Macaca fascicularis: one gene and its partners. The protein of the gene in region 4 purifies or fractionates together with the protein of the main gene of each other region. This does not show direct contact. Links are inferred from orthologs where the notes say so. Each region holds a gene or a part of one and is shown on either strand. Other genes may lie near its edges. The genes, in order: COPG2, COPZ1, COPG1, COPB1, COPE and COPA.

What was found.
Region 1: the proteins of COPB1 (region 4) and COPG2 purify together in Homo sapiens (affinity purification with western blotting; 4 studies listed by BioGRID and IntAct, with this or other methods). This does not show direct contact. The link is inferred for Macaca fascicularis from reciprocal best matches to the Homo sapiens genes COPB1 and COPG2.
Region 2: the proteins of COPB1 (region 4) and COPZ1 fractionate together in Homo sapiens (co-fractionation; 8 studies listed by BioGRID and IntAct, with this or other methods). This does not show direct contact. The link is inferred for Macaca fascicularis from reciprocal best matches to the Homo sapiens genes COPB1 and COPZ1.
Region 3: the proteins of COPB1 (region 4) and COPG1 fractionate together in Homo sapiens (co-fractionation; 11 studies listed by BioGRID and IntAct, counting the BioPlex papers as one, with this or other methods). This does not show direct contact. The link is inferred for Macaca fascicularis from reciprocal best matches to the Homo sapiens genes COPB1 and COPG1.
Region 5: the proteins of COPB1 (region 4) and COPE purify together in Homo sapiens (affinity purification with mass spectrometry; 6 studies listed by BioGRID and IntAct, with this or other methods). This does not show direct contact. The link is inferred for Macaca fascicularis from reciprocal best matches to the Homo sapiens genes COPB1 and COPE.
Region 6: the proteins of COPB1 (region 4) and COPA fractionate together in Homo sapiens (co-fractionation; 6 studies listed by BioGRID and IntAct, with this or other methods). This does not show direct contact. The link is inferred for Macaca fascicularis from reciprocal best matches to the Homo sapiens genes COPB1 and COPA.

The regions. Positions count from the first base shown.
Region 1 is NC_088377.1:172,023,845-172,026,152, forward strand, and holds the end of COPG2 (coatomer subunit gamma-2), read right to left. Parts: intron 2,071-2,308; coding exon 1,932-2,070; intron 1,638-1,931; coding exon 1,539-1,637; intron 1,069-1,538; coding exon 938-1,068; 3' UTR 501-937; downstream 1-500. UniProt on the Homo sapiens protein: The coatomer is a cytosolic protein complex that binds to dilysine motifs and reversibly associates with Golgi non-clathrin-coated vesicles, which further mediate biosynthetic protein transport from the ER, via the Golgi up to the trans Golgi network.
Region 2 is NC_088385.1:61,173,065-61,177,334, reverse strand, and holds the start of COPZ1 (coatomer subunit zeta-1), read right to left. Parts: upstream 2,801-4,270; 5' UTR 2,783-2,800; coding exon 2,609-2,782; intron 1-2,608. UniProt on the Homo sapiens protein: The coatomer is a cytosolic protein complex that binds to dilysine motifs and reversibly associates with Golgi non-clathrin-coated vesicles, which further mediate biosynthetic protein transport from the ER, via the Golgi up to the trans Golgi network.
Region 3 is NC_088376.1:154,147,323-154,151,409, reverse strand, and holds the end of COPG1 (coatomer subunit gamma-1), read left to right. Parts: intron 1-656; coding exon 657-795; intron 796-1,012; coding exon 1,013-1,111; intron 1,112-3,100; coding exon 3,101-3,231; 3' UTR 3,232-3,587; downstream 3,588-4,087. UniProt on the Homo sapiens protein: The coatomer is a cytosolic protein complex that binds to dilysine motifs and reversibly associates with Golgi non-clathrin-coated vesicles, which further mediate biosynthetic protein transport from the ER, via the Golgi up to the trans Golgi network.
Region 4 is NC_088388.1:51,257,321-51,261,587, forward strand, and holds the start of COPB1 (coatomer subunit beta), read left to right. Parts: upstream 1-1,467; 5' UTR 1,468-1,575; exon of another isoform or gene 1,576-1,610; intron 1,611-2,319; 5' UTR 2,320-2,376; coding exon 2,377-2,467; intron 2,468-4,267. UniProt on the Homo sapiens protein: The coatomer is a cytosolic protein complex that binds to dilysine motifs and reversibly associates with Golgi non-clathrin-coated vesicles, which further mediate biosynthetic protein transport from the ER, via the Golgi up to the trans Golgi network.
Region 5 is NC_088393.1:19,305,493-19,308,992, reverse strand, and holds part of COPE (coatomer subunit epsilon), read left to right. Parts: intron 1-507; coding exon 508-589; intron 590-1,926; coding exon 1,927-2,082; intron 2,083-3,500. UniProt on the Homo sapiens protein: The coatomer is a cytosolic protein complex that binds to dilysine motifs and reversibly associates with Golgi non-clathrin-coated vesicles, which further mediate biosynthetic protein transport from the ER, via the Golgi up to the trans Golgi network.
Region 6 is NC_088375.1:100,716,086-100,720,182, forward strand, and holds the start of COPA (coatomer subunit alpha), read left to right. Parts: upstream 1-1,297; 5' UTR 1,298-1,382; coding exon 1,383-1,422; intron 1,423-4,097. Other genes in the region: NCSTN (nicastrin), read right to left, coding at 1,072-1,156. UniProt on the Homo sapiens protein: The coatomer is a cytosolic protein complex that binds to dilysine motifs and reversibly associates with Golgi non-clathrin-coated vesicles, which further mediate biosynthetic protein transport from the ER, via the Golgi up to the trans Golgi network.

The DNA of each region.
Region 1 (2,308 bases), on a different chromosome or scaffold from region 4:
GCTAATTAAACATGTTTGATTTCTGAATAAATTGAACTAAATCCAAACTACTACCTAAAATCACAGGACATTAAGGACCAATAGCATCTGTGCCAGATATTTACTGTTATTAGCTGGGAAGACCAATTCGAACAGCAAATAACAGTCTGAGACTCCTCATACCTCAGTACTTAGAAGCATGTTTCTCTTGAGCTACTGTAGAGGGGAAGGGATTGTTGTGTAGTCCAAGTCACCATGCTGAATGTACACTGATTCCTTTATGATGACTGCTTAACTCCCCACTGCCTGTCCCAGAGAGGCTTTCCAATGTAGCTCAGTCATTCCTATACTTTACAGACAGGAAAGTTCCAGAAACTTTAAGAACAAACTCTGAAAGACCTATGAGCAAATGGTGCTGAACACTTTTTTTTTTAAGCCACATTTCATTGTCTTAGTCAAAGCAGGATTAAGTGATTATTTAAAATTCATTTTTTAAAATTAGCAACTTCAAGTATAACAACTTTGAAACTGGAATAAGTGTTTATTTTCTATTAATAAAAATGAATTGTGACAAAAGTGGACTCTGGCTTCCCCTCCCCCTCACCCCCACCCCTCTGGGATAAAAATTTTCCAGCATTGCCAGGAGCTTTCAGGTACACATTAAATTAAAGAATAAAATGAAGTTAAGCAGCTGGAGTATAGGATAGTATTTGATTTTCAAGATCACCTGAAGCTGCACTATCATACCAAAGCTGACCAAGTATAATAAAAAGAAAAAAAAAACAACCCATGCACAAAGATAGACACCTGCTTGATCTGCTGGCTCAGGGCCAAATGTTTAATTTGCTTCTCCAAAGTCAGTCATCTTCAAAAGTGTGATTCTGGGAAACTGATGCCACTAGCCTAAAAGCCCGCTGACCGTGAAGTGTACATCAGTTTCCTCTTGTCCAGTAAGCCTTTATCCAACAGAAGCTAAGATAACATCTACAGGTGTTCTCTCTTTGCTTCTGACAGTCACCTGCATGGTCACTCCATCGGCTAAGGCCAGCCTGGACCTCACCAATAAATCACAGCCACCTCTGAATATGCCTGAGAGAAAAAAGTGAGGAAAAACATATTAAGAACCCAAAACAAGCACTGGATAATGAAATTTATCATGCTCTCACTGCATCTCCTTTCTATTAGTTTAGTTTTCCAGAGATTTGTGGAAATTGAATCCTACGCATAAATTCCAAATATATATTCCAAATATATATTTTTTATATTCCCATGAAACCAGATACATAGAAGGTATTCAAAAATACCAATTTGGAGTACTCAAAAGGAATGTTGGTGGTGGCCTTGGTATCTGTTGGAGAGATTTAAGTGTTTTAGGTCAAATGTACATCTTAAAAGAATAACTAAGAATAGCATGCAAAACAAATTATTCATTTTGACTGGGTTTCACGTTGTGGCTCATATAATGGGATGATGGGACAAGAGCAAGGCGTAAGATGCCCATCTATATCCTGTTAAGCTTTGCAAGAAAATGGAAGGAAAATCTGATGGAAGCTTCTTACCTGCCAGATAGAGCGAATGGGAATTCTTGTTCTCAGGTACTTTATCGGACCTCTCACATGGCTGCATGCCCAGAAATGTGATGATATTGTTGACAGCCTCTGTGTTGAGAAGATGTATGAGACAGTATTAGGAAAGTAAAGCACAGGGATCTCCCTCTGCACCAGTCTATGCTGGGAGCTGGGGTGGAAGGGGCTGTTGGTGATGTGTAGAGGGAGGCTACTTGGACTAGAAAATGGCTGATCAGTTAGATGATGAAGACAGGGTGCTGGCCTTTTAAGTAAGAGATTTATGAAGTTTTTTTTTTTTTACAAGGAGTTCTTCTGGAGTAACAAATATACCTATTAGGTGTTTATTGCTATCAGGCAATATACTGATAGCAAAATGGGTCTCACCTTCAAGGGTTTTGGTAGAACTGAGGGCAAAGGTTTCCTCTTTCTCAAAGGTATCTCCCACCTCTTCCCAAGCAGCAGCAAAGTTAGGCTTCAGTACTTTCTGAATGTGGTCAGACACAGTCACTTCGAGATCTTCCAGCTAGTGGGTAACAAGCAGTCAGTAAAGAAAAGTCCTTTCTGTTATAGGGCAAAGATAAAGGAATTAATATAGTTCTCTGGAGCCTAGAGAAAACTCTACCACCAAAATAGTTTAAGTTCTGTAGTCTGGATAAATCTAATGCTGGAGCCCTTAGCAAAGGAAAGCAAGAAAACAGAACATCTGGCAAGAGCCAAATTCAGATCAACATCTGTAGCCCTGAGGTACAGAGTAGTCATGT
Region 2 (4,270 bases), on a different chromosome or scaffold from region 4:
TACTAAAATACAAAAAAATTAGCCAGGCGTGGCAGTGTGTGCCTGTAGTCCCAGCTACTCGGGAGGCTCAGGCAGGAGAAATTGCTTCAACCCGGGAGGCAGAGGTTGCAGTGAGCTGAGATCACAGCACTGTACTCCAGGCTGGATGACACAGTGAGACTCTGTCTCCAAAACAAAAACAAAAACAAAAAAAAAAATACTTGCTAACTGGGCAGGTGCAGTGGCTCACACCTGTAATCCCAGCACTTTGGGAGGCCAAGGCAGCAGATCACTTGAGGTCAGGAGTTCAAGACCAGACCAGCCTGGCAAACATGGTGAAACCGTCTCTACTGAAAATACAAAAATTAGCTGGGCATGGTGGCACGTGCCTGTAATTCCAGCTACGCGGGAGGCTGAAGCACGAGAATTGCTTGATTCTGGGAGACGGAGGTTGCAGTGAGCCAAGATAGTACCACTGCACTCCAGCCTGAGTAACACAGCCAGACTCTATCTCAAAAAAAAAAAAAGAATATTTGTTAACTGCCTGGTACAGAAAATATTTAAAACTACTCAGATTTTAAGCTTTTTACCTATATTTGACCAACTGACATAAGGAATTATCTGTCTCTTTTTTTTTTTTTTTTTTGAGACTGAGTCTGGCTCTGTGGCCCAGGCTGGAGTGCAGTGGCCGGATCTCAGCTCACTGCAAGCTCCGCCTCCCGGGTTTACGCCATTCTCCTGCCTCAGCTTCCGGAGTAGCTGGGACCACAGGCGCCCGCCACCTCGCCCGGCTAGTTTTTTGTATTTTTTAGTAGAGACGGGGTTTCACCGTGTTAGCCAGGATGGTCGGAATTATCTGTCTTTAACATGCTGAAAGAGAGGAATTAAAAACTGTTATTCTTTTATCTGACGAGGATCTGAATATGTATGCATAGGAGATCTAAAGGAAAATAAAAGACAAGCTTCTTTGGAAAGAGGCCTGGAGTTCGAGCCAATTAACGAAGGAGGCTGGGAGTTAAATTCCTACATTAACTACCTACCTACCTACCTACACACACACACACATACACACACACACACCCCTCCAAATCGCAAAATAGGGCACTTTTGAGAGAAATTATCTGGTTCAGTTCTAAATAAGGGGTAACAGGTATTTTATTTGTTAGAACAAGCATAAAGCATCATATGGACAAGAGGGCTAATACACTCCTTGTAGCGACCACAATTCTCATGTAACCAGAAAGGGAGAAATTAGCATCCTAGATCATACAATGAGAATCCCTGGCCAGGCGCGGTGGCTCACGCCTGTAATCCCAGCACTTTGGGAGGCCGAGACGGGCGGATCACGGGGTCAAGAGATCGAGACCATCCTGGCTAACACGGTGAAACCCCATCTCTACTAAAAAAAAATACAAAAAACTAGCCGGGCGAGGTGGTGGGAGCCTGTAGTCCCAGCTACTCGGGAGGCTGAGGCAGGAGAATGGCGTAAACCCGGGAGGCGGAGCTTGCAGTGAGCTGAGATCCGGCCACTGCGCTCCAGCCTGGGCGACAGAGCGAGACTCCGTCTCAAAAAAAAAAAAAAAGAAAAATACAAAAAATTAGCCAGGCATGGTGGCAGGCGCCTGTAGTCCCAGCTACTCGGGAAGCTGAGGCAGGAGAATGGCGTGAACCAGGGAGGCGGCGATTGCAATGAGCCGAGATCGCGCCACTGCACTCCAGGCTAGGCGACAGAGCGAGGCTCCGTCTCATAAATAAATAAATAAATAAAATAAAATAATTCCTGGCCAGGCGCGATGGCTCACGCCTGTAATCCCAGCACTTTGGAAGGCCGAGGCCGGCGGATCACTTGAGGTCAGGAGTTCGAAACCAGCCTGGCCAACATGGTAAAACCACGTCTCTACTAAAAATACAAAAAAAAATTAGCCGGGCATGGTGGCACGCGCCTATAGTCCCAACTATTCAAGAGACTGAGGCAGGAGAATAGCTCGAACCCGGGAGGCGGAGATTGCAGTGAGCCAAGATCGTGCCACGTGTGCACTCCAGCGTAGGCGACAGAGCAAGGCTCGGTCTCAAAAAAAAAAAAAAAAAGAATTCCTAAGGTCCAATGGGTAGAGAAAAGGAGAACAGAATAAGGAGTCTGGAAAAAATATTCCACAATCCATGCTAACTTTATCAGGTATCCCAGAACTTTGATGAAACACTGATTCTTTATCATGATAAACCTATTTAATAGGGATTAATAGGAAACCCAAGAGAAAACAGTTTCCTGAAAGAATGTGGCAGGGAATCAGCAATGGAGAGTCAAACTTGGGAAACCACCAGGAGGAGCCTGTAACGACAAAACATCTGTATTCTTTTCTCATAATATGGGGCTAGTTTGGTGGTTTTGGTAAATTAAAATCAGGATATCATCCACAATGCTAAAAATAAGGGGAAACCTGAAGAGTCCTAATCCAGTACGCTTACAGGTCTGTGTATCCTAAGGAGTCCATGTGCTACCTTTAACTTTCCATCGACTCTATGCCCTCTCCCCGGCAGGGCTTCCTACTCTAAACCAAGGCTTTAGCTCCTACACTAGGCCACACACTTATTCCAAGGGTCGGCAGAACCGTCAGTCCCCAAGAATTACCCGGAACTCTCCTTCCCCGTCTCCCACTCGGGCTGCACCCTGACTCCCGGCCCCTGTGGACAGCACAGCATCTCTGCTGCCCCTCCAGCTCCTACCAAAATCAGCGCTTCCATCTTGCCCCGCAGCTGGTGCCGACGTGGAGCCGCAAAAGTAACGCCACCGCTGATTGGCCATACGTCCCCATTAGGCCCTGCCTAGGATAAGGATCATTGGGTAAGACTTGCTCTGTTGACCAATTATTGTACTAACTTGCTTACCGGAAGCAGAGTATCCAACCAGAAGGCACAGGTGTTTGATTGTCAGTTTGAATACTCAATAAAACGCCAAAACCTCACGACTTATTAGGGCGGGAGGGTCGGTGGGGCGGGGTTGTTTCCATGGGGAACGGAGGAAGCGATTGTTAATTTTCAATTGGTAGGGCCAGGGACACGTGATATTGTCGGCCTGATTTAGCGATTTTAAACCGCACTCTCTTTAGGGGGCGCTGTGTCTCCTTAGCCTTTAACGCTGACGCTTCCTAACAGGGATCCTCCCCTAATAATCCCTATTTTCAGCGCCCCCTAGGTCCATGATCTCTGTGGCTAGCCCTTCCCTCAGGCTCGCTCGGGTCACTTTAGCATCCTCACAGAAAGTCTGCACAACCATAGAGTAGAGCCAAGAAAGGCCCAACATGTTAACTACATAAACCAAGACTGCCAGAAGATGATAGTCGCAGTAACAATCTCCCTAAGGTGGAGTTCCAGGCTTTGCTGGGCCTGAGGAACATGAGAAGTCAGAGTTTGTAAAAGCTAACTTTGGCTCAATCGTCTTTGGAGATGGAGTTGGGGGGACAAACGGGGAAAGGGATTAGAATAAGGGAGGGTTATAGGGAGTAAGGTCTGGGGTTTTCCAATAGAAACAAGCCGTTGTGGCTGGGCGCGGTGGCTCAAGCCTGTAATCTCAGCACTTTGGGAGGCCGAGGTGAGCAAATCATCGGAGGTCGGGAGTTCGAGACCAACCTGACCAACATGGAGAAACCCCGTATCTACTAAAAAAAAAAAAATACAAAATTAGCCGGGCGTGGTAGAGCATGCCTATAATCCCAGCTACTCGGGAGGCTGAGCCAGGAAACTCTCTTGAACCCAGGAGGCCGAGGTTGCGGTGAGCCAAGATCACGTCATTGCACTCCAGCCTGGGCAACAAGAGCAAAACTCCATCTCAAAAAAAAAAAAAAAAAAAAGAAAGAAAAAGAAAAGGAAAGAAACGAGCCGTTGCAAAATGAGAAAAGAGAAGTTTACTGAATGCAACGATTTCACAATAGGGAATGGTTTTGATGAAGCTTGGCTTTCCCCTATCTCTTGGTTTCCTGATCCCTGACTCCTCTTAGGGCAGGGATACCTATTGCCTTAATTATCCCTCAGGGATTTTTTTCCCTCATCTCTGAAAATTATGTCCTTAGGAGCTCTCCAAGAAGAGATTCCAGACTTATCCAGGAATTTTTCTTTTTCTTTCTTTTTCTTTTTTTTTTTTTTTTTTTGAGATGGAGTCTCTCTCTGTCTCCCAGGCTGGAGTGCAGTGGTGTGATCTTGGCTCACTGTAACCTCTGCCTCCCAGTTTCAAGCGATTCTCCCTGCCGCCTCAGCCTCCGGTGTAGCTGGGATTACAGGCGCCCACCACCCCTGG
Region 3 (4,087 bases), on a different chromosome or scaffold from region 4:
CTGTTTGAGCCCACCCAGAGATGATAGAAAAAAAAAAAAAAAAGAGCTGGGTCGAAGTTGTATTTATATACACTGTAAACATCCACAGGAGTAGGGCCTCAGTGAAAATCTGATGGGAGAACGAATGGGGAACCTTCATGTGGACTCAGTGGGAGTATTATGTGTCAAGTTCAGAGAAGACACAGCTGAAATGGAGACAGAGATTCAGGATCTGTCAAATCCAGAGGACACAGCTGGGGTAGGAGGTTTCTGCTGAACTAGAAACAGCTGCTGCTCCTGAAGAGCTCATCATCCCCTAGAAATGACAGGCATAGGAAGCAGACCTCTGAGAATGCTATGTAATTCCCTGTATGCCAGATCCTGGAAGCACTGACACTAGGCAGGCTTAAAAGAGATGTGATCTCACAGCAGGCAGCTCTAGGATGAGTTAGTAGATTGGTACTTGGGATTAGGGCATTTTCTGTTGAAGGGATACCACTTGCCTGTGGGCACCTCAAGGATAGGTACCTGGTCAAGTTGTTCTGTGTCCCCAGAGTCTAGCACAGTCCTCAGTGCCGAGCAAGCACCTGCAGAAAGAGTTGGCAGGAAGGGATGTGTGGATGAGTTCAGAGCAGAGTGTGTGGATGGGTGCTTGATTTCTATCTCCATCTCTCCAGCTGGAAGATTTGGAAGTTACTGTAGCTGATCACATTCAAAAGGTCATGAAACTGAACTTCGAAGCAGCCTGGGATGAGGTAGGGGATGAATTTGAGAAGGAGGAAACATTCACCTTGTCTACCATCAAGACACTTGAAGGTAAAATCCTGGGAATGCCACCTCTGGCCTACTTGCCGTTCAAGATCTTTGGGTACTGTTGAAGTGCTTATACCTTTTCTCTCCAAGGATCCAGGGCCATGTCTGGGGCACATATGTCAAATGCCATTTCATTAAAAGCCCTTCAGAACATGGGGGAGTGGTGGTGGCACAAAGGGCAGACAAGATGGCTTAACAATATTGGGATTTCTCACTATAGAGGCTGTGGGTAATATTGTGAAGTTCTTGGGAATGCACCCTTGTGAGAGGTCAGACAAAGTGCCGGATAACAAGAATACCCACACGTTGCTTCTGGCTGGTAAGTGGCATTTCCAGGTGGGGAGGGCCTGGATAGCTTACAGCCTGGATGTCCACTGGATCCTGGGCTAAGGACTTAACTGTAAATACGGGGAGTCAAAATTCACAGCATTTAAAATTCGCAAACTATAAAATAATCTGCAGCGAAATGTTTCCACCTTACCTTGGCTGCCAGCCATTGAGATTCCCTTCCAAGAAACGACCAGTGTTACTATTACAAACAATGCCTGTATAACCTTGCAGTTATTTTATTGCTATAAAGGAACACATTTCCTTTTTTTAACTCAAATGTTTATGTACAAATGGTATATTGTCCTGCAATTTGCTTTTCACTTTACGATGCATCTTAAGAGATCTTTCCTGCCAATATGTAGAGCTTCCTCATTCTTTTTCTTTTAATTGTGGTAAAATATACATAAAATTCACCATTTCAGCCATTTTCAAGTGTGTGGTTCAGCGGCATTAAGTACATTCACACTATTGTAAAACTATGACCACTATCCATCTCCAGAACTTTTTTCATCCCAAACTGAATCCTTTTTTTTTTTTTTTTTTTTTTTTTTATAGCTGCTTAGTATTCCATTGTGTGGATGCACCACATATTCTGTGGAACAGCCGCTACTGATGAACATTTAGTTTGATTTCAATCTGTTGCTATTACAGATGTTACAGTAAATAATCGTGTACACACACACACAATTTACTTTGCATGTGTACACTGAGAATATCTGTAGGATAAATTTTCCAAGGCATCACCAGGTCAAAGTGATTTGTGTTTCTCATCTTGATAAATAACTCCAAGTTGCCTTTCATAGAATTGTATACCTTTTTTCCTACACTGTGGACAACACAATATGTTACCACACTTTATGATCTTTGCCAGTCTGTGTGGACAATGATATCTTAGTGTAGTTTTTGTATTTTCATTGAAGTTAAGTATCTTCTCAAATGTTGAGGCATTTGTATTTCCTTTTCTGATCACTGTCTTCATATCCTTTGTCTTATTTTCTACAGGGTTGGCTGAGTGTACCTGCACTCATTCTCCTTCCCAGATTACTTACTAGCAAACTCCAGAAATAGCATTTTATATGTAAATTCTTCTGTATCTTTATGTTTCTCTAAGAGATAATGACCCCTGCCCTTTTTTAAAGGACAATACAATTATCATACCTAAAACAGTTAACAAAAGGAAATGGGATGATTTTTTTTTGGCTAAGTGTTTATAAACAGGGTTGAAAGGAGGCTCTGCTTCAGTACCCTGTCTACAGCTGACAGTTTGTAGCCACATTGAAACAACCCAGTCCCCTGGGTCTTGCAGACACCTGCCCTGTGGTTTTCTCGTGGTGGGGCTGTCCCCTTCATTTGTGCTGTCAGATTCAGCCAACATGCAAGAGCCTATGTGACGTCAGATACGAGCCTTTTATGTCCATCAATTCATTTGAACTTAGCAGAAGCCTGAATATGGTATTATCATCCCCGCCATTTTGTAGTTGAGGATACTGAAGCCCAGAGAGACAGTGACTTTTTTTTTTTTTTTTGAGACGGAGTCTAGCTGTGTCACCCAGGTTGGAGTGCAGTGGCACAATCTCTGCTCACTGCAACCTCCGCCTCCCGGGTTCAAGTGATTCTCCTGCCTCAGCCTCCCGAGTAGCTGGGATTTCAGGCGCCCACCACCATGCCCAGCTAATTTTTGTATTTTTAGTAGAGATGGGGTTTCACTGTGTTGGCCAGGCTGGTCTCAAACTCCTGACCTCATGATCCACCCACCTCGGCCCCCCAAAGTGCTGGAATTACAAGTGTGAGCCACCGTGCCCAGCCGAGAGTCAGTGACTTTCACAGTGAAATCCCTCACTCAGGGATTTCAGCCCAGCTCTCCTGCCCATTTCACTATACCACAGCTGTCTTGATGGGCTGCTGCAAATGCCATCCTTAGCCTGCCCTGTACAATCCCTTCTGCTGTATATACCTGTACTTCTGTCTTCCCTTCTAGGTGTGTTCCGGGGTGGTCATGACATCCTGGTGCGTTCCCGGCTGCTGCTTTTGGACACAGTGACAATGCAGGTGACAGCCAGAAGTTTGGAGGAGCTGCCAGTAGACATCATCTTGGCATCTGTGGGATAAGCAGCCAGCCTGCATAGGACCTTATGCCCTTCCCCCCCAACACTACCTGGAAGTTGTGCCTTCCTCATGAAACTGGCGGAAACCCCTTCCCAAGCTTCTGTATTCAAAAACAATTAGGAATCATTGCAGATTTTTTTTTTTATTCTGCCCTTACCCCCCACCCGGGACTACTTGGGGGTGCCTTTTTTTTTTTTTTTTTTTTTTAATAGGGAATGATTTTAGCTTGTCCTAAATCTTGCTATCCTTCCTTCCAGGAAAGGGACATTGTAAATGAATAAAACATTCTCGACTCCTCTTGAATTTATCCCCCAAGAAACCATCTTATCCCTCTAATAAATCAGCATGTATTTATTGAATGATTGCTACACCTTCCCCTTCAAGGCCTCCCCCAAGAGGCAGAACACGTGCCCTGTCCCCCTTGTACCCACAGCCCTTTGGCTGTTTTAATCCTGTGAGGCAGGACCCTCTCCCCGTCATCGCTGTCCCAGCACCAAGCCCAGGGGTGGGAGCGGTACAGGTTAGTTGAGTGAATCAGCTAACAGGCACTGAGTTCCCACTCCCTCCCACTCGTGCTTCTTCGCAACGCATCCTCCTCTGGTAGTCGATAAACGGAGGCTCCAAAGGGCTTGGGTCCTGTGGCCGTTCCAGCATCAGGTCCTATGTGGAGTGTGCCCTGGGGTTTCTGCTACCTGTTCAGCGAATCAGCATAGGCGAAGAACAGCCCTCTAGAGTATTCTCTGTTGGTTGCAGATAAAGAAATCTCCGGTTTAGGTCCCAAGGGGAGCAGGCTTTTAAACTCAAGCCAGGTTATTTTACCAACTTTGAGAACAAAGTACACCCGTAAGGACTGTTTTAA
Region 4 (4,267 bases):
TGTTGTACACACATCTTGGATTGATCTCAAGGGAATTACACTGAGTAAAAAAATCCAGTCTCAAAATATTATTGTATAATTCCATTTATATAACATTGAGATGATAAAAATCATAGAAAACTATTAGTGGTTGCCACAGGTTAGTGTGGGAGGTGGCTATGGCTATCAAAGGACGACATGACAGCATGAGAATCCTTGTGATGGAACTGTTCTGTGTCTCGACTGTGTTGGTGATCACACACATATAAGAATGATAAAATTGTCTACAAGTGAATATAAAATGAGTACATGTAAAATTAGTGAAGTCTGAATAAGGTTGGGTGAATTATGTCTGTCAATTTCTTGATATTGTACTATATGCAAGATGTTACTATTGGGAGAAACTGGGTAAAGAGTATATGGAAACTGTATTCAAGTCACTCTACAACTGTTTTTTAAAAATGAGTGCACAGAATCAGAGGAGGCACTCTTAAAGTGCTGTCAACACATGGCTTTTGTAATACATTTTGGGTGCTCAAAGAATTTGTAGTTTGCTTGATGGTTCTAAAAAGAGAAATCTCAAAAGAGCTAGATCCTACATAAATGAGGTACTATTGGTGTTCCATCTTCTGAGATGAACCTGTTAATTAGGGCAGTTGCCGTCAGATCTCTTTTTATTCACAATATTTTGCTTAAGCTTTAAAATATTTTGTTATTAATAATTGACCATAAAACCTTTTGGGGGGAAGAGGGAGGGGTAGGGGCGGGGCGTGCTATGGAACTTCAAATGGGCAAAACCAAAAGTACTGTGGCTGATTGCAGCTGTAACAATTAGGTCTTTGGAGATACGTAAAATCCTTTAAAACAGTGACTGTCTCCCTTTATGCATAAAAATTTTTTCTAATCTACTGGGTGCTCAGGAAGGATCACGGAAAGAGGGCATTATTAAATAAAAAGAAATTATACCAATGTGGCTTTGGATTTTCAAATAACTCTAGCCCTACCTGCAGAGAGGCAGATTCAAACTACAAGCGATATTAAGGACTGAAATGGATTTTAATCTAGTGACCATTAATAAAATAACTGAATTAGTTTCCCAATAGTATTAGTTACTTTCCCAGTTTATTAGGGGGTGAGCAAGAAAAAGCATTCCTGGGTTTCCACTTTCCAGTCCAGAGCTGTTTTTCACGGGAATACAGCCCTGCAAAAGTTTCCCTCTCTCCAAACACTTCCTACCCTTGACTGTTCCTGGAAGAAGGAACGATTTCCAGTTAGAGTTTAAATGAGCATAGTGCCTAACTCAGCTCTTGGCTTTCAGGGAAAACTAGAAAATACGTGGTTTCATTGCTCTGCGGCCTAAACCAACCCCGGACGAGAGAAGAGTAAGAAAATAGGATACACTTGCAGCGCGCAAGCGCTGCACAAAGAAGGCATGTCCTCTCTGAGTCGCCGTAGGTGCTAGGTGGCTGTGGCTTTGGTTGTTACCCCACCCCCTTCCACGTCAGCCAAGGACTCTGGAGCCGCCGCCGCTGCTGCGGGTTGGAGCCGGAGTAGACGGATCCACGGCTGCCCCAAACCACTACCCCTCGGAGCCTGGTAGTGGGCCACAAGCCCCCAGTCCCGGAGGAGTGGTGGGTCGGGCAGAGTCGGAAGAACTGGCTCTCTAGCTGGAAGATGCGGAAAGGGAGCGACTAGGCCGCTTGCGTCTGGGCCTGGCAGAGGGGACGGGGTGGGGGTAGGGGCGGGGGCCTAGGAAGCTCCGGGTCGGACGCTCCATCCCGACCTCTGTATTGGTCAGGGGTCTTTCCCTCCCAAGACCCCGAGGCTTACCCTTTCAGGCCCAGGCCTGCTTTGCTGGGGGAAGGGGAGGAGGAAGCGGGTCGGGCGAGGTGGGGGTGCAGCGCGCGCTGATTAAGGGACCCGCGGACGTATAGTCGGAACCCACCAAGGACCGCGATAAAGCGCTTTAGGGTTTTGGCAGAGTATTCAGGCACAAGGTCTCCTAACTTGAGCATGCAGATTGTGTGTTGTGTTAAAAACTGTATGTTCCATAATATTGTGGGGTTTGGCTGGGGGACTGTCACTGTTCTGTGGGCCTTCCTTCGGCTGTACAGCATTCTCAAACACTGGACTCGTGTGCGATGGAGGGAGTGATAGATAATATACTTTATGCCGGAGCTGACAGTGTGGTTTTTACTAGAATTTATTTTTATGGGAACACGATATAGATTGACCTGTCCTTTCTAATACTTTAAAATGTCACTATAGATACTGGTTTGTGGGTTTTTTGTTTGTTTCTTTGTTTGATTTGTAATCATGTACCTGTGTTTATTTTTCTAGATTTTCTGGCATCCTTAAGTCTTGTATCAAGGATTAATTATAATATAACCAGAAACCATGACGGCAGCTGAGAACGTGTGCTACACGTTAATTAACGTGCCAATGGATTCAGAACCACCATCTGAAATTAGCTTAAAAAATGATCTAGGTAAACTTTGATATTATTTTGAGAAATGAAAAAAGAAAAGACGAAAATAAACTCATATTTCATATTCCTTTATAATTAGAAATGCTTAATTTTTGTCTAAAGTTTTTCTAGGATCTCTTCAATAGACCTTTTATTAAATTAAATGCGAACTCCTTTAGACTAAATATTGGTTGTTTGAAATAGAACATCTCAGTAAACCTAAAGAGATTTTAATAGTTTAGATATTCCTCAAAATGTCATAATTTTTGTGGAGTTCAATATATTATACTTAATGTAGCTGATGATATTCTCTAGGCAACAGATTGAGGATGTGTATTGGAATATCTTAATTCTATCGTGCACTTAACTTCATGTTACTTAGCTTGTAAAACCAAAAGAACTTTGTTCTTTGGGTTACCCACCCAGACAATTAGATCAACACTGGAATAAACATGTATTTTCCCGAAAAGTTTAACTTTTCATTTTTTAAGCATTTTTGCAAACAAGAAAACAACTATATTTGTGAATTTTATTTTTTTTAATGTTTAATTTTTGTGGGTATACAGTAGATGTATATATTTATGGGGTACATGAAATGCTTTGATACAGGCATGCAATGCATAATCATCACATCATGGAAAAATGGAGTATCCATCCCTTCAAGCATTTATCTTTTGTGTGACAAACCAGTTACACTTTTAGTTATTTTTAAATGTACAATTAAATTATTATTGAGTATAGTTACCCCGGGTGCTATCAAATATTGGGTCTAACTCATTTTTTCTTTTTTAGCCATCTCCGCTTTCCTCCCACTACCCTTCCCACCTCTGATAACCATCCTTTTACTCTATCTCCATGAATTTGTTTGATTTTTAGCTTCCACAAATAAGTGAGAACATGTGAAGTTTGTCTTTCTGTGCCTGACTTATTTCACGTAACATAATGACCTCCAGTACCATCCATGTTGTTGCAAATGGCGGGATCTCATTCTTTTTTATGGTTGAATAGTACTCCATTGTGTATATGTACCACATTTTCTTTATCGATTTATCCGTTGGTGGACACAGGTTGCTTTCAAGTTTTGACTGTTGTAAACAGTGCTGCAACAAACATAGGAGTGCAGTTATCTCTTTGATGTACTCATTTCCTTTCTTTTGGATATATACCCAGCAGTCAGATTGCTGAATCGTATGGTAGCTCTATTTTTAGTTTTTTGAGGACCCTCCAAACTTCTCTGTAGTGGTTGTACTAGTTTACATTCCTACCAACAGTGTACAAGGGTTCCCTTTTCTCCACATCTTCACCAGCATTTGTTATTGCTTGTCTTTTGGATAAAAGCCATTTTAACTGGGGTGAGATGATATCTCATTGTAGTTTTGATGTGCATTTCTCTTCTGATCAGTGACGTTGAGCACCTTTTCATATGCCTCTTTGCCATTTGTATGTATTTCTCAAATGTCTGTTCAAATCTTTTGCCCATTTTTAGATCAGATTATGAGATTTTTTTTTTCCTATAGAGTTTTTTGAGCTCCTTACATTTTCTGGTTATTAATCCCTTGTTAGATGGGTAGTCTGCACATATTTTCTCCCATTCTGTGGGTTGTCTCATCACGTATGTCAATTGTTTCCTTTGCTGTGCGGAAGCTTTTTAACTTGATATGATCCCGTTTGTCCGTTTTTGCTTTGGTTGCCTGTGCCTGTGGGGTATTACTGAAGACATTTTTGGCCAGACCAGTTACCTGGAGGTTTTTCCCAATGTTTTCTCGTAGTAGTTTCATAGTTTAAAGTCTTAGATTTAAGCCTTTAATCTATTTTGATTTT
Region 5 (3,500 bases), on a different chromosome or scaffold from region 4:
AGTGGTGGGCCTGTCCCACAGGGTGAGAGTGGGCTTTATGGAGGGAGTGGAGGTCGTGCCCGGAGGAACATGTCGCTGGGCCAGCTTGTAACTGTGCCATGGGGCTGGCGGGGCCTGCACGTGGCGTCACCAGGTCGGAGGCCATGGCTGGTGGTCCAGGACTCCCCTGCTGCCGTTTCCAAAGCCCTTGCCTCAGAGTTGTTCATGCTGTAGCTCCGTCGCCCTTCCCTGCGTTCCATCTTCCGTGGAGCGAGTCTCTCCCGAGCCCTACCTTGTGCCAGCCACCTCGGGGGTCCGTAGCTGGCTCCAGTCCCGCCTTCCCGGGGCCTTCACGTGGTGGGGCGGGCAGGGCAGCTCGGGCACTTCGTCGTGGGGTATGAGCACGCAGGGGAGCACGTAGTGGGGGCCATCCCCGGGCTCTGGCGGGCCCCAAGTGGGAACAAGGCAGGGATAGCCAGGCCAGGGCTCTCGGCCGCTCAGCCCCTCCGTCCTCTGTCCCCACCCCAGGAAGGAACTGAAGAGAATGCAGGACCTGGACGAGGATGCCACCCTCACCCAGCTCGCCACCGCCTGGGTCAGCCTGGCCACGGTGAGTCCTGGGCCACGAGGCAGGCGGGCATTGTGGGCACCTGGCTGAGTAGGGTCTGTGGGCACCCCCACCTGTGCCCAGGCTGCCGGCCACTCCAGTGGGGCTCCAGGATCAGGCCATGGCCCCCTGCCAGCCTGGCACAACTCTCAGCCTTCACTCCATTCCGGGCTTCTCACAGCCAAGCGGCTTGGCCAGAGGCAGAGCGATGGTGGGGACGGGGACGGGGTTCCTGAGCCTGAGGCGCAGGGGGACTCGAGGGTCTGGGTTGGCCTGGCAGCCCCTCCTCCCCCCAGGGCTTCCTGGGGTTTTCTGCGACTCAGCTTTGCTCTCCAGGGTCCTGGTCCCCAGCCAGGGACAGGGTTCAGTGTTCCCATAGCAGCGGTGGAGATGTCCTCAGCTCCCAGGCCTGGGCACCTCTGCCTGGCAACACCCCCCTCCTGGTTTCTGGGACTTGGCCCCCTTCTGAGCCATTCTTTTGTGCAGGCCTGTTAAAATACACTTCCTGGCTGGGCACAGTGGCTCACGCCTGTAATACCAGCACTTTGGGAGGCTGAGGTGGGTGGATCATGTGAGGTCAGGGGTTCGAGACCAGCCTGACCAACATGGAGAAACCCCATCTCTACTAAAAATACAAAATTAGCCGGGCATGGTGGCACCCACCTGTAAACCCAGCTACTTGGGAGGCTGAGGCAGGAGAATCGCTTGAACCTGGGAGGTGGAGGTTGCGGTGAGCCGAGATTGTGCCATTGCACTCTGGCCTGGGTGACAAGAGCAAAACTCTGGGGGGAAGAAATGTGCTCCCCGTCCCTGCCCACCACGGGGCTGGAGCCTCACCCAGATGGACTTCCAGTGGCCGTCCAGTGTGGTGGGACAGGCCTCGGCAGCCCTCTCGGGTAGTTTGAACTGTTTTCACAGCCTGCCTTGACCTCAGGCTCCCCCTGCAAGTATCCCACAGTCCTGAGCAAGCGGGCAGGTCAGAGTTGCTGGTCACAGAGCTGACTCATCCTCCTCCGATGTGCCCGGTGACCCAGTGGTCCCCACTCAGACCCTGGCCCAGCCACCTGTGCCCCTGTGCCCTGGAAGCCCTAAATTCCACCTCTGTGTACCCAGCGCACTGGGAGCCGGGTAGGAGGTGAGGCAGGAGGCGGCCGCGAGTCTTTAGGCCCCGTCAGCAGAGTACAGGTTATGAGTGGTCCCCATGGTGGAGTGGCTGTGCCTTGAACCGGGCATACCAGATTTGTGTCTGTGCAGTGCAGAGCCCCCTCTTGGGGAGGGGGCTGACGGTGGAAGGGCCTGGCGGCCGCAGCACAGATGATGATGTGGGACCCTCCCTGCAGGGCGGTGAGAAGCTGCAGGATGCCTACTACATCTTCCAGGAGATGGCTGACAAGTGCTCGCCCACCCTGCTGCTGCTCAATGGGCAGGCGGCCTGCCATATGGCCCAGGGCCGCTGGGAGGCCGCTGAGGGCCTGCTACAGGAGGCGCTAGACAAGGTAGGCACAAGGCTGTCCCAAAGTGGGAACGGAGGGAAGGCCAGGCGGCCGGAGGGCGGGGTCAGGGCAAACAGAAACAAGTGTAGCAGAGATGCCCTGCGTGTGCGTGTGGCCCCACAGGGCTTCTGAGGCCCAGTCAGCAGCGAGATCCACAAAGCAGGGATCGCACCTGCAAAGAAATCCAGATTCCGGCCTCACAGAAATGGGGCATCTGGGCAGCCTGGGCCTCAGTGGTCTGTCACCTCAGCTGCCTGGCCCTGCATGTGGGACCCCTCACCTGAGTACATATTCAGTATTGGAGAGACACTCCCAGTCCTTATTTAGGGGACAGCGTGCTGTGGCCAGGAGCCCAGGCTGGCTGCAGTCGTCTCCTGTCTGATGTCTGCAGTCTTTTCTTGTCTTTTTTTGAGATGGCGTCTCGCTTTGTCACCCAGGCTGGAGTGCAGTCGTGTGATCTCAGCTCACTGCAACCTCTGCCTCCTGGGTTCAAGCGATTCTTTTGTCTCAGCCTCCCGAGTAGCTGGAATTATAGGCGCTTGCCACCATGCCCAGCTCATTTTTGTATTTTTAGTAGAGATGGGGTTTTGCCATGTTGGTCAGGCTCGTTTCAAACTCCTGACCTCAGGTGATTCACCTGCCTCAACCTCCCAAAGTGCTGGAATTATAGGCGTGAGCCACCATGCCTGACCATCTGCAGTCTTTATGAAGAGTTTATGTTATTTTAAATTTAAAAAAAAATACTATTTTTTGTAGAGACGGGGTTGTTCTTGCTGTGTTGCCCAGGTTGTTCTTGAACTCCTGGCCTCCCAAAGCACTAGAATTACAGGTGTGAGCCACCATGCCCAGCGGATTTTTTTCTTTTTTTTAATTTCTTTTTTTTTTTTTTTTTTTTTTTTTGAGATGGAGTCTTGCTCTGTCCCCCGGCTGGAGTGCAGTGGCACAATCTCAGCTCACTGCAAGCTCTGCCTCCTGGGTTGATACCATTCTCCTGCCTCAGCCTCCTGAGTAGCTGGGACTACAGGCACTCGCCACCACACCCAGCTAATTTTTTGTGTTTTTAGTAGAGACGGGGTTTCACTGTGTTAACCAGGATGGTCTCAATCTCCTGACCTCATGATCCGCCCACCTCGGCCTCCCAAAGTGCTGGGATTACAGGCGTGAGCCACCGCGCCCGGCCTGGGTTATTATTTTTATAATCAAAAAGGACATCAAAGCTTTTTCCATTTTGGTGAAACGGATTTTGGGTTTTATTTGTTTGTTTGTTTGTTTGTTTGTTTGTTTTTTGAGACGGAGTCTTGCTCTGTCACCCAGGCTGGAGTGCAGTGGCCGGATCTCAGCTCACTGCAAGCTCCGCCTCCCGGGTTTACGCCGTTCTCCTGCCTCAGCCTCCCGAGTAGCTGGGACTACAGGCGCCCGCC
Region 6 (4,097 bases), on a different chromosome or scaffold from region 4:
ATGCTCTACATGGCACTCAGCTATGTGCCTCAAAGGGTTATTAAAAAGTCCATGTAGCGCCATTGACAGTGACACTAAAAGAGAGAAAACTTGGTCAAAGGAAAGGTGTTTGACCTTAGATTTGCCAAATTCTGGTTGCACAGGTGATCACACTTCTGCTTGTATATCCTGTATGTATATTACTAACCAGTTAATACAAAGGTGCTGGGCTAAGAAAACTTTCTGAGACATTTTTCCAAGAGTGTGAATAGAATTGAGAGAAACCTTATGACATACACTGGTCAGTTAATTTAACATCAGTAGGTCATTTGTGTGCCCACAGTGTGGGGCAGCTGTAGTTTCTCCTTTGAGGATCTTTAAAAACAATGTGAACTAGGGGAAGGCACAGTCATAGTTATATACAGACATTTGCATTTTAGGGCGTGACCAACTAAAAAGCCATGTATCAGTAAATAAACGCGTATAAGCAAACAGTCAAGTATATTATAAATGCCAAAAGTTCCTTGAATCGTTACTTCACGGTTTGGACAGTTAAGAGTACCCATATCCTACCTTATTCTTGCTTTACTGATTAAAAAAACAAAAACAAAAACAAAACCTGAGGCAAGGCAGAGGGACACAGACTTTGGGTGTAACCAATAGAGGAAGAAATAAGAAATCTACCTTTTAAGCGCCGCACAGCACCCACAGAACAAGATTGCTTTCGTCTCAAAAAGTCTAAACGCGGGGAAGAAAGCTAACTTTCACACCTGTTTCTTTCGACTGTGGGGTGGGTGGCTGGGGTTGTGGGAAAAACGAGGCATCTGGACAAAGTGGGAGAGGGTCGAGTTCGAAGTCCAGGAAGAGGCCTAGAGAAGGGAGTGAAGCGACACGACATGCTGCGGGGGAGAAGGGACCTTTAGGTCCAGGCAAAGGGGGAACTTCTGTCGTGGGAACGAAAGAGAAAGAGGATTTACAGGGTGGGGGGACAGAGGGGCAGCAGGAACCAGAAGGGAGACAGTGGCGCTCGCGGCTGGGCCGATCCGGAGAGTTCCCTTTAGAGAACGGAGCTCACGGGTGGGGAGGCCTCACCTGCTAGTAGGACGCAGAAAGACAGAAGACGAAGGAGACCCCGACTTCCCGGGTCAGCCCCAGAGCCACCCCCTGCCGTGGCCATCTTGCCTCTCTGCTGAGCGGAAGTCCCCGTTCGGCTCCTGCCGGGTAGCGGCCTCTCTAGGCTACCACTGACACCATCTCTGTGGCCCGGAGCCCAACAGACCGGAAGTTCGTGTTTCCAGGAGCTTCCGGAAACCGCGGCAGAGGGTAGCTGACGTGGAGGCGTCCGAAGGGCAGCAGGGTGTGTCGGGGCTCGGATTAAAACATCGGAGTCGGAGACCTGAGAGATGCTAACCAAATTCGAGACCAAGAGCGCGCGGGTCAAAGGTAGTGGAGAAAAAAAAGGGGAACATGGAGGTTGGATGTCAAGAGCGGCGCAGACACCGGGGAAGAGAAAATGGGTAGACGTGCTGGCCGAAGTGGGCCCACTAGACGGACCCAGAGGAAGACGGAGGGTGGGAGAGAGGTTAGGCCTGGCTAGCGGTTCTCCAGTCCCCTCTTTGGTGTGTCCTTGGGCTTCGATTTACCTATAAAGTGGCTCCCACACTGTAGGTGATTCCTTAGACCACCTCCCTATTCTTTCTTCTCCCTTTCTCTCTTTGCTGTGCTCCCAACTTGTATTGTTCTGCTCCAAAGGCCCTGTGACCTGTTGACTTTTTGATTGTGTTATATGGAGTGGCCCTGGGGCTTGAGTCTCGATCTCTGTTACTTGCACCCGAGTCAGTAGCTTTTTTGGAGACGTGTAGTGGCTACCTCACTTAAGGAGGCCTTGGCTGCAGCATCTCAACATCAGTACCTTCATTCGGCTTTATTCACTACCCGGAAGTAGTACTTTGAGGCTTATAACCCCAATAAAGTCTCAACTTGATAGGGTTGCCAGATAAAATGCAGGACACCCAGTTAAATTTGAATTTCAGGTAAACAATGAATAGTTTTTTTAGTCTGTCCTTGCTTACCAGAAGTTCAAATATATCTGGGCATCTCGTATTTTTATTTGCTAAGTATGGCGACTCTAGAGCTCGAGTGTGGGTCGTTGGGGGTGGTGGGCAAATACTGAGATCTCAGTATTAGCCTCAGAATGTTAAAATGTGAAAGGCAGAGAGAAGTAAGGTCTCCAGAGACCTGGAAAAAATAGTATCTAGAGTATGTAGTAAGATGCAGCGTAACAAAATGGTTAGTCTTTGAAAGTGGTTGGTCTTTGAAGTCAGATGGGCTTGCTTTGGAATCCTGAGACATCCACTAACAAGCTGTATGACTTGGGTGACTTAAGGTCTCTAAGTGCTATTTCCTCATCTGTAAAATAGTCTTTTATAGAAAGAATTAAAATGAGAAAGTATGGAATGTATTTATTGCAGCACCTGGTGTAGACTCAGTAGTGCAAAAAGTGGAGGCTGCTCTCAATGTGTGAATATATTCTGAGCAGTTTCTAAGTCTCTTGGGAAACTTGACCTTGAAAGGTGGGTACCATTAAGAATTTCTGAGACCTGTGTAGGTGAAATGGGTCTTCATAATCTTTCAGTTTTCTTTTCTGCTCCTAATTTCTTGCTGGGCAGTAGAGAAGGAAAAACAAAGATGTTGTAATAATTGAGGGCGAACATCCATTGTTGAGTGTACTTATATATCATAATGGAAAAAAAAAAAGAGAACCTAATGGAAAAATAGACAATTTAGAAGAAAAATTGTAAATGTTCAATAAATAATTAAAACAGTTCCACCTCACTAGTAATGAAAGAAATGCAAAAAAAAAAAAAAAAAAAAAAGTGAAGTTACTTTCTTGGGGGGAGGGTCTTAGATTTATAAAACAAAACAACAAATAGCTGATAACATCCTGTGTGCAAAATGGGCACCTCCATAAACTTCATGAGACTGTATATTGATAAAGTGTTTTTACATTTAAATATATGTACTAAAATGTTAAGTGCACATATTCTATTCCTGAGCAATCTCACTTACAGGTCTTTAGCCTAGAGCAGTAATAATGCAAATAGGCTAGATTATGTGTAGAAGTATCTTCAGTAGGCTCTTCTGATAGCCAAAAATTGGGGGACAAAGGTAAATGCCTGTTAGAATAATGTAAAAGTTTGCAGAACAACATCATAATGTGATCCCCACTTTCATAAAATAGTAAGGCCTATGTCTATGTGTAACTGCATTACAAATCTGAAAGGGTACACTCCAAACTGTTAGTAGTTGTTACCTCTGGGGACTTCCATTTCCAGTCTTGATAGAATAACAAACAAAATGTATGAAACAAAGGTTCATACATTGCTCACAGACGTTGGGTGACACGCAGTGCAGGGAAATGATTCTTGAGAGAAGGGAAATAAACAAGGTGAGTCCTATGATTGTCATAGATTACTGCCTAGAGAGTTTTCAGGCTTCAGTGAAAAGGGGAATCCCTTGTTCTTTCTGAGGAGACAAAAGTTTAGAGTGTGGGGAAGCAAAGATGCTAGATTTTGCAGGGCAAAATGCTGGAGAAGAGGGGGCTGCAGAGAGAGAGCACTAGAGGTCTGCAGGATGTCCTCTCGGGTCTTTGAGTACTGATCTGCATGTGAGAAAACTATTCAAAACCTGACAAAGAACCACTGGAAAGGAGAAGGCAGAGCAATCCCCAGAGCTCACACAGGGCTGGGACTAGTTTGTGTTCCTACTGGCCAGAATGGAAAGACTTCCTGATATTATAGAGCTTCAAATAGAGACCTCAGATGGGCTATTGCTTTAATAATGGTTCCAGATTAAGCCTAGAATGAAGGCTGCTGTAGCCCCCCTGTAATAGAACCTAAAAGCAAGCCTTGAAAGGATCAACTGATTCCAAGTAACTTAATTGCATCCTAGAGCAAAGCCCAACAATATTTAAAGGAATATAACAAACATCTAGTACCAAACATAAAATTCATGATGTCTGGCATCCAGTAAAAAATCATCAAGTGCGTCGAATGAATAAATGAGCCTAGGATTAACCTTGCTGTTTCTTTTTCTTATCAGAATTGACAGAAGGTGAC